Linked DNA regions of Caenorhabditis elegans. The protein of the gene in region 2 purifies or fractionates together with the protein of the main gene of each other region. This does not show direct contact. Each region holds a gene or a part of one and is shown on either strand. Other genes may lie near its edges. The genes, in order: tra-1 and ref-1.

What was found.
Region 1: the proteins of ref-1 (region 2) and tra-1 purify together in Caenorhabditis elegans (affinity purification with western blotting, with the first as the bait; one study listed by BioGRID). This does not show direct contact.

The regions. Positions count from the first base shown.
Region 1 is NC_003281.10:11,191,926-11,196,762, forward strand, and holds the start of tra-1 (Sex-determining transformer protein 1), read right to left. Parts: upstream 3,277-4,837; 5' UTR 3,139-3,276; coding exon 3,118-3,138; intron 3,036-3,117; coding exon 2,940-3,035; intron 1,178-2,939; coding exon 1,117-1,177; intron 7-1,116; coding exon 1-6. UniProt on the Caenorhabditis elegans protein: Plays a major role in controlling sexual phenotype. Terminal global regulator in a well-characterized cascade of sex-determining genes. Promotes female development. Interacts with tra-2 to promote spermatogenesis.
Region 2 is NC_003280.10:10,216,692-10,220,571, reverse strand, and holds ref-1 (Regulator of fusion ref-1), read right to left. Parts: upstream 2,102-3,880; 5' UTR 2,100-2,101; coding exon 1,957-2,099; intron 1,903-1,956; coding exon 1,447-1,902; intron 1,397-1,446; coding exon 1,234-1,396; intron 1,178-1,233; coding exon 836-1,177; 3' UTR 546-835; downstream 1-545. UniProt on the Caenorhabditis elegans protein: Probable transcription factor. Binds 5'-TGCCACGTGTCCA-3' in vitro, probably via the E-box motif 5'-CA[TC][AG]TG-3'.

The DNA.
Region 1 (4,837 bases), on a different chromosome or scaffold from region 2:
ATGGATCTGCAAAAAAAAAGTGGTGAAAAATGGAAATTTTTGCCGATTTGCCGAAAATTTTAAATTCCTGTAATTTTCCGATTTGCCAGAAATTTTAAGTTCCGAAAACTTGCCGGATTTTTCAACTTCCGGCAATTTTCCGATTTGCCGGAAATTTCGAATTCCGGCAATTTTCTGATTTGCCGGAAATTTTTAAATTCCGGCAATTTTCCGATTTGCCGGAAATGTTCAACTCTGCCAATTTCACCCGATTTGCCTGAAATCCTCAATTCCGCCAATTTGCCGGAAATTTCAACTTTCGGCAATTTTCCGATTTGCCGGAAATTCCAAATTCTGGCGATTTGCCGAATTGCCGGAAATTCCAAATTCTGGCGATTTGCCGAATTGCCGGAAATTCCAAATTCTGCCGATTTGCCGGAAATGTTCAACTCTGCCAATTTCACCCGATTTGCCTGAAATCCTCAATTCCGCAAATTTGCCGGAAATTTCAACTTTCGGCAATTTTCCGATTTGCCGGAAACTCCAAATTCTGGCGATTTGCCGAATTGCCGGAAATTCCAAATTCTGGCGATTTGCCGAATTGCCGGAAATTCCAAATTCTGCCAATTTGTCGATCTGCCGGAAATTTTAAATTCCGGCAACTTTCCAATTTGCAGGAAATTTCAATTTCCGATTTTCCGGAAATTTCAAATTTCAGCAACTCGCTGATTTGCCGGAAATTTTAAATTCCGGCAATTTTCCAATTTGCCGGAAATTTTTTAATTCGGTTTGCCGAGCCATTTTTGCCCAAAAATTACAAAAATTTTTGAAAAAAGGCGGTGTCTAGAGTCGAAAATCGCCCGTTTTTTTAAATTCAAAAATTTTTTCTAATAAATGTATATTTATAAATTGTGGAATTTTCTATTTTCTGTGGAATTTTTTGGTCTAAAACTGAATAATTTCTCTAGAAAAGCTGAAAACGGGTGGTCCATCCGACTCCATCGGGCGATTTTCAAAGAAAAAATGTGGGTGCAAATGCGCTCTAATGCGAATTTCTTCCGCATTTTTTTTCGTTAAAACTATTCAAATTGCCGCCGAATCGCGCGGTCATTCTCAACGGAGCGCGATTTCCCGTACCATTTTCGGTTTTCACGTCGCCACCACCAGGTTGTTTGTCCTCCGAACCCATTTGCTTGGCCTGGAAAATTGTAAAAATTGATTTAAAAAATTCATGAGAAAATCCAGAAAGGGCCCAAAATTTTAGGGAATTTCTAGATAAAATCCCCTAAAAAATGAGCTTCTGACTGAAAAAATCCATATTTTTTTGCATTTTCAGGGCGTGCTAAGACCCAAATTATACTTTTCTGACCTCCTCATCAACCGCGGCGGGGGTGTGCTCGGCGGTGCCAGTGTAAGAGCAAAAGTGCACGAGAACTTCAAAATAATATGTATGTATTTTTATCGGAATTCTCTGTCTCTCGAATTTTGGATAGAACAACTCCTTATCAGTCGAGCGGAAAAAAAAAACGACGTGGCAGGAGCAGCAACAGCGCCCAGCGAAAAAAAAGTAGTGGCGGAGCAGTGTTCGATGATCAGAGGAGCAGAAATATTCGGGCGGTCTAGACGAGGTAACGGTGGTGATATGAACCCGAAAAAGGAAATGAGAAACATGTAGAGCTGAGAAAATTGAGAAGAAGAAGAAGAAAAATATAAATTCTCACGGTTGGACAACCCAGAGACGAGAAAATCGACAAGTTTTTGGCGGGAAAATTTGGCGATTTTCGAGGGAAAATCGATTTTTATATTTTTACAAGTGCTGTAAGAGTGTCTCATTTCGGCTTGATCTACGTTGATCTACAAAAAATGCGGGAAAAGAGACGCACACTTTTAAACTGATTTTGCATGGTTAAGAACGTGTTATTTTTTTGGGCAAAAAATTCCCGCAATTTCGTAGATCAACAAAACGTGATGGGACAGTCTGGCACCACGTGTTTTTATAGGACCGCAGAAAAAAGGTCCGGGGTGCCGCCGAAAAAATGTTCAATTTTCGGTCTGTTTTTTTTTTGAGCAAAATGAGCAAAATTTGAAAAAAAAAACCGGCAGGCCTGATTCAGGGGTGCGGGGTACTTGCCGGAATTGCCGGAAATAATATTTTGGAAGTGTTTTTGAAATTAGACGCCTAGACATGCATTTTTTTGACCCGACTACAGAAAGCCCCATTTTTTTCAGATTTTTGTCGTTTTTCCTGGGTTTTTTAAAGGAATTTCTAGGAATTTCTCTTCCCCGGAGCCTGAGCCTAGGCCTAAGCCTATGCTAAAGCCTAAGCCTAAGCCTAATCCGTCGCCTAAGCCTAAGCCTTAGGCTGAGACTAAGCCTCAGCTTAAGCCTATGTTTAAGCCTGAGCCTAAGCTTAAGGTTAAGCTTAAACCTATGCCTAAAAGCCTAATCCTGAATCTAAGTTTAAGCCTAAAAGCCCAAGCCTAAGCCTAAGCCTAAGCCTGAGCTTAAGCATAAGCCTAAGCCTAATTATAAGCCTAAAAGCCTAAGCCTAAAACTGCGATTTTCAAGCTCAACATGTTGTCAAACTCGAATTTTTAAAATTTTTAAGTTTGAATTTAATTCTTTAATTCTGATTTAATTCTGAATAAGGCTAAATTTTTAAAATACAGTTAGGTTTGAAAAAAAAGCTTAAAAAGTGGGAAAATCAACAAAAAATTGAAATTTCGGACGTTTTCAGTTCAATTTTAAGCGAATTTCGGTGAATTTTTCCGGAAAACCACTCCTGGTACGTGAAAATTCGATTTTTCTCAAATTTTTGTGATAAATCTGCTTTTTCGAAAAGTTTTTGTCTGAAAAATGTGCATTTTTCCAAAAATCTACGAATTTTGCGGTAGAGATACCGGGATTTCGCTAGAAATGTTCGATTTTTATGGATTTTTTTTTCAGCTTCACAAACTTACACACTGATCGACAAGCTCCACCTTATTCCACCCATTTGCATTCTTTTTCTTCGAGAAGCTTCCACGACGTTGAGCCTCGACAACCGTATCGGGATCCTGGAGAGAATTGATTTTTAACGAATTTTTAATGTGAAAATTGTAAAAATTAGTTTTTTAATTCAAAATTCCTCGAATTAACCTCAGTACTGGGGGCCATCATGCCGCCGTTTTCGTTGTTTTTGATTTCCTGTTGAATTTGGAGAGTTGCGTTGAAAATTGCTTGACGCGGGGGCTCTTGATGCTCCAAATAGTGTTGATTATTTAGAAGATGACGTGGCGAGCCTCCTGGCACATTCTCTGCAAAAAAAATCAATAGATTTGAAGGATATTAGGCAGAAAAATGAGAAGAAAATCTTTAAATTTAAATTTAAAATTCAAAGAATAGAGTTCGTGGTGAGACCCATCGCAAGAATTACTGCATGTTCCTTTAAAACTACAGTAAGGCTCGATTAATTTTAAAAACTTTTTGAATGAGAATTCGCCAATTTTTCAGTGAAAATCAGTAAAAAATTGGGAACTGTTAAATATAAAAATACATGACTTTTTCAATTTGAAAGTTTGGAGCCAAAAATTTTCAAATAACGGCGCAGAGAAATTAATTGTCGGGTGGGTCTCGGCACGATCGTGGTGAGACCCGCTAAAAACATGGAGAACAAATATTTTGAGTTTTCCAGAAAAAACAACGACAAAAAAGGAGTCAAGGCTTGGGTGGTTTTTTTTTTTGAAAAACCGTGCACAATTTTCAGTACTCGACTGATAGCACATATACATAGGAGAGAAGAACATCTAACCCCCTTGGCGATGCGAAAATAGCATACGAGACAGAGAGACGCCGTACATTGGTGGCGTAACTGATAAAAAACTGATAATAAGTCTCAAAACCACCGCGGGCACTAGGCGCCAGCGCCGAGAAAAAGTAAGAAAAAAATAAAAATGTTGAGAAGAGGGGGAATAGTACTGTATCTATAGCCACCGGTCTTTTTTTTTGGAATTTTTTCGTTTTCGCGAACGGAAATTCGCAAAAAAAGGGAAATTGAAAAAGTAACCAGTGAAAGTGATTGGGAGGATGATATATATTGATAAGGGAGACCGGTGGAACGTGAGAATTTTGAATTCCCGCGCTGGACTACGGTAGGAAGGCGAAATTGGGATTTTTTGAAAAACTCTGGAATTTTCGAGTAAATTTCGTCTAAAAATGGAAAAAAATGTTGCGAAAATATTCTAAATTTTCTTTGAGGCGACTGTAGTTTTTTTTATTATTCGCCAAATTTTGAAATTTAATGCAAAAAGGTGTGCGCCTTTAAAGAATACGGTAGTTTCATTTTTTTTTGGAGTTTTTTTTTTGCCCAGTGTTTATTGTTAGTTTTTAAATAAATAAATAATACATTTTCAAAAATTGATAATAAATACCGGAACAACGAAAGTTTCAAAGTACAGTAATTCTTAAAGGCGCAAAACCTTTTGGCATTCAAGAAAAAAATTTTCGTGCCAAGACCGAGTACCGTATTTCTCGCGGAAAAAAATCGCTAATAATCGCGTTTGTGTGATATTTTTCCGCTTTTAACATTCAAATCAGGTGTGGGCGGAAAACAATTTTTTATCGGCAAACGGCCAATTGGCATTTTGCAAAATGAAAATTCCGGCAAATCGGCAAACCGGCAATTTTTTCGATTTGCCGGAAATTTTTTGAGCAAATTCTATGAAAATATCTAAAGAAAACGGGGAAAAACTTCAAAAAGGCACAGTTTTAAGAGTTTCCGGCAAATTGATATCCGGCAAATCGGCAATTGCCGGATATGAGAAATTCCTGCAAATCGGCAATTTTTTCGATTTGCCGGAAATTTTTTGAAAATTGTAAG
Region 2 (3,880 bases):
ATACTGAACGGCCAAATAATCGGCGAGATGACAATTCGCAGGAAACAACAGAGAAACCTCAAAGATCGGCAATTCTTATTTGAACTTTTGAGGAATTCGAAAATATTTGTTTATCACAAAAAAGGTTTACATTTCAAACTCAGCTTTAAATTCAAAATGCATTCACTTTAATGGAGATTTTTAATGCTTCAGGGTGTTTAGGGTTAGATTATCATCCGGAAGCCATTTCGAAAAATGTTATATGTTGAAAAAAATCTGCAAAATGTTCAACATGTTTTTTTCAAAAGGCATCAACTTTACAAAGAAAAAAATAGCTAGGTTACATTCGGAAGTTCAATTTAGAGCGGAAATACTTTCCTTGTGGATTTAAACCCTCTGAATTAGAAGTATCATTGTATTAACCATTTCCCACTAAAACACTAATTAGTCGTCTGTCTGGAACAAGGTGGTGGGAGAATAAAAACTGTCACATCATTCTATCGAGACACGTGGCAATGAGCAACCAATTGCCATGGGAAACAAGGTACCAGAATACAACACTATAATAGAGATAATAAATACTTTATTCTGCAGTCATTTAATCTTCAAAATCACTGAAAATCGGAAAATTCAATATAAATATTATGAATACTGAGGGAAAACAACAATTAAGGATTTATAAAACCTACCGGTAAGCTTAATAGCCCGTGACAATAAAACTAGATTTTGGTTGTGAGATGATAATGATATGATAAGTTGAAAAAGTCGATAACATTTTGAGGTTGATAAATTATTAATAAGAATATATACTTTTAACACTAAATTACAATTAAAGGAGATATATTTTTTAGAAAAGTTATTCCCATGGTCTGAACAGCTTACTCTTTCTTGAAGCTTTAGGATTGGAATTCGAGTTCTCATTTGGAGTGGATGGTGTTTCGATTGATGACGAAGAAGTATCGGATGATGGTGGTGGAGAATCCAGTGAATATGATGGAGACTGTTGAGATTTTGGACTTGTTGCCATTGGTGCCATTGGCATTGGGAAGAATGGGAATGGCCGGAATGGGAAGATTGGGAATGATGGTGGTGGAATTGGGATGGGCATGGATGGGAATCCAAAGAGTGGCTTTGGTGATAAGGAGAATTCGAAGAACTTTTCAAGGTCTGCGCATCGGACAACGAGGTGACGGTCGCTCTGAAAATATATTGATAACATTTAAAAAAATCTTCTCGAAGTTCCTGACAACTCACCTTGAAAAATTGGAAGGCAATGTTTTTTGCAGTCTTCTTTCCCTCTGCAATTGCATGTGCATAGAGTGACTGCTCCTGGTCGCTTCGACTAACAAAATTGTGCTTCTTGTTTTGAATGTAGGCAATTATGATATCCAGGGTGTTCAAGCGTTGCATTTTTTCGCTGAAAAAAGGAAAAGTTTAATTTATGGTATTGGGAAAATTTAAGCTTACACTTGATGAGATGTCATGAGCTTGTTCTCAATGATAAAGTTCTTCAAAGCATCAAAAGCTTCTCCCTGACGATCTCTTCTATCTTGCTCTCTATTCTTTTTCACTTCCTTTCTATCAATTGTGATTCCAGATTCCGATGTCGATGGAGAGCTTGACTGGGATCTATAGCTCATTGAAGAGTGGAGAATTTCCGACTCAGATCTTCTCTTTGATTTTCCAGATACAGTGCTCAGCAAAGATGAACGTTCTCGATCGAAAAACTGCTTGGCACGTTGCACAAAATCCTGACAGACATCTGAATTGACGCCCAGGGATTTGATGAAGGAATAAGTGAGCGACTCGATTGATCGGAATCCGTCAAAGAATCCTTTGCGATTTGGATTTGATGATGGTCCAGGTGATTCGGTTTCCATGCGACTGACCACTTCGACTGCACGGTTTAAGACATCACCTTGGCTGAAAATTAGTAAGATTTGAATGAAGATAACACTAAACGAATAGAAAACTCACGTCATTTTCTCATTATCCGATTCATTTTGAATCAATAGTTGAAGCTCCTTGATCTTTGCATTAATCTCATCTCGTCGTTTCTTCTCCTGTGATGTTTTTCTGTTATGAGCGTAAGCTGGTGGTGGGGTACTGATGAGGACCATTTCTGGAAAAAAAATTAAGTTTTTATTGATTTTTATAGCTCGATTTGTAAATGAACAAAATCAAGAAGGGAGAAATGTTGCGGAATTTGAGAAATATAGAGAAAGAGAAGGAGATATAGAGAAAAGTCATAAACCATTCGGAAGAGGGAGCGTGGCGATTTACAGTACCCCTCACTTCTACAGCACGCCTTCTTTTTCTAGATTAGAATCTTATTCGTAGAAATTTAATTGCCTTAAACCCTAAAAACCCACTTTTTGTGTCGTTTCGCCAAAAAAAATTATATCCCAATGGTTCCCATCACTATCAACCACAAAAGACGTGCCGAGTTATCAGTGTGGGAATCATTTGATAAGTGTGCATGGGAAAAAAGCACTTGAGTCATGACACAGTTTCCCACAACTCTTGACCATATTGGTTTGATAACCCCTGGTGAGAGGCGACACTGTGAAGAGCCGGGCGGATGCTCAGGCGGTACTAATCCTTTAATGGAGAGCTAGGGGTCCGACAAGGTGAGAAAAGGAAGTGAAACGGCAGACCGGAAGAACATGAAAGAAGTTGGTAAACAAGAGGGATCTACAGGCAGTAAAATGCATGGGGAGGTGTTAGAGTTTCAGATGTACTGTACTTGAGGTGAAAATTTGGAAGACTGATAGTGAGGTGAGACATAGAGAATTCGGGGGAAGAATGTTAAAATGAAGTGAGAATTGGTTAATTTAAGGAAAACTAGAAATTGGAAGCGCTACAGTAGCAATACTATTTCTGGTGAGGTAGAACTATGTTGCTACTGTAGCTGAAACTCTTAACCATAGCTATAGACTACTGTAGATTTGCTACTGTAAGACTCTAAAGAATTTAGGGCAAAAAATAATTAGGAATGTATACTAAATACACTTCTCAAAATCTCAAAACAGCTAAAGTAAATACTGGAACTAAAAAACAAACAAAAAAATGAGAAGAAGATGTATGAATGAAAGTAAATTCTGATAGCCCCCACTTGTTGACTAATTGCAACCGGACGCGTCTAGAGGCGGGGACCGTCTCGTTGGATGTGCATAGGCCACGCCTCCTTTGGCTGGCAGGCAACCATGGGAAAGGTGCAGGGAGAGAGGGGTATAACGGAAGTGGTGGGAATATAGGGGCACGTGAAGATGAGAGAACTAGTGAGACTGTGGGAAGATATAGGTTAGAGAGTTGAATTTTGATAGATGATAATGATATGAGTTCTTTTAAATTTGAATACGTTGGCAATTATTGGAAGACAAAAATAGGTACTTGCGTAGTGAATGTACCCTAAAAATTTCCTACATTAAAAAAAAATATTCAAGGTTGCATCGACAAACATTTTATACTTACGATCTACAAACTCAACGTAACAAAGTTGGTTTCATTTAAGTTCTAGGAGATCAACTTTTACAGAGATCAAAATAGTAGAATGTTTTGTTTTCTACGGTAGGGCCTGCGCACGCTCTATGACATGGTTAGAACTTTATTCAAGTCTGTAAGGCTTGTTTTTTCAGAACACAACTGTCTATTTGGCATTTACCGCCAATTTATTTCTCGTCTTAAACAAGCCTAATACAACTCAGGTTTAAAATTACAGAAAATACGTTTTCTGGAATTTTCCAACTTTTCAACCAATTATATGTGTATGTTTTAGGCGAAAGTTAGAAAACACCGAGTATGAAACAAATAAGGAACATAATGGATTTCAATGTTATTTTTATCTTCAATATCGTTTTCATAGATCCCATCTAAACCTGACACTCCATGACCTTCCACA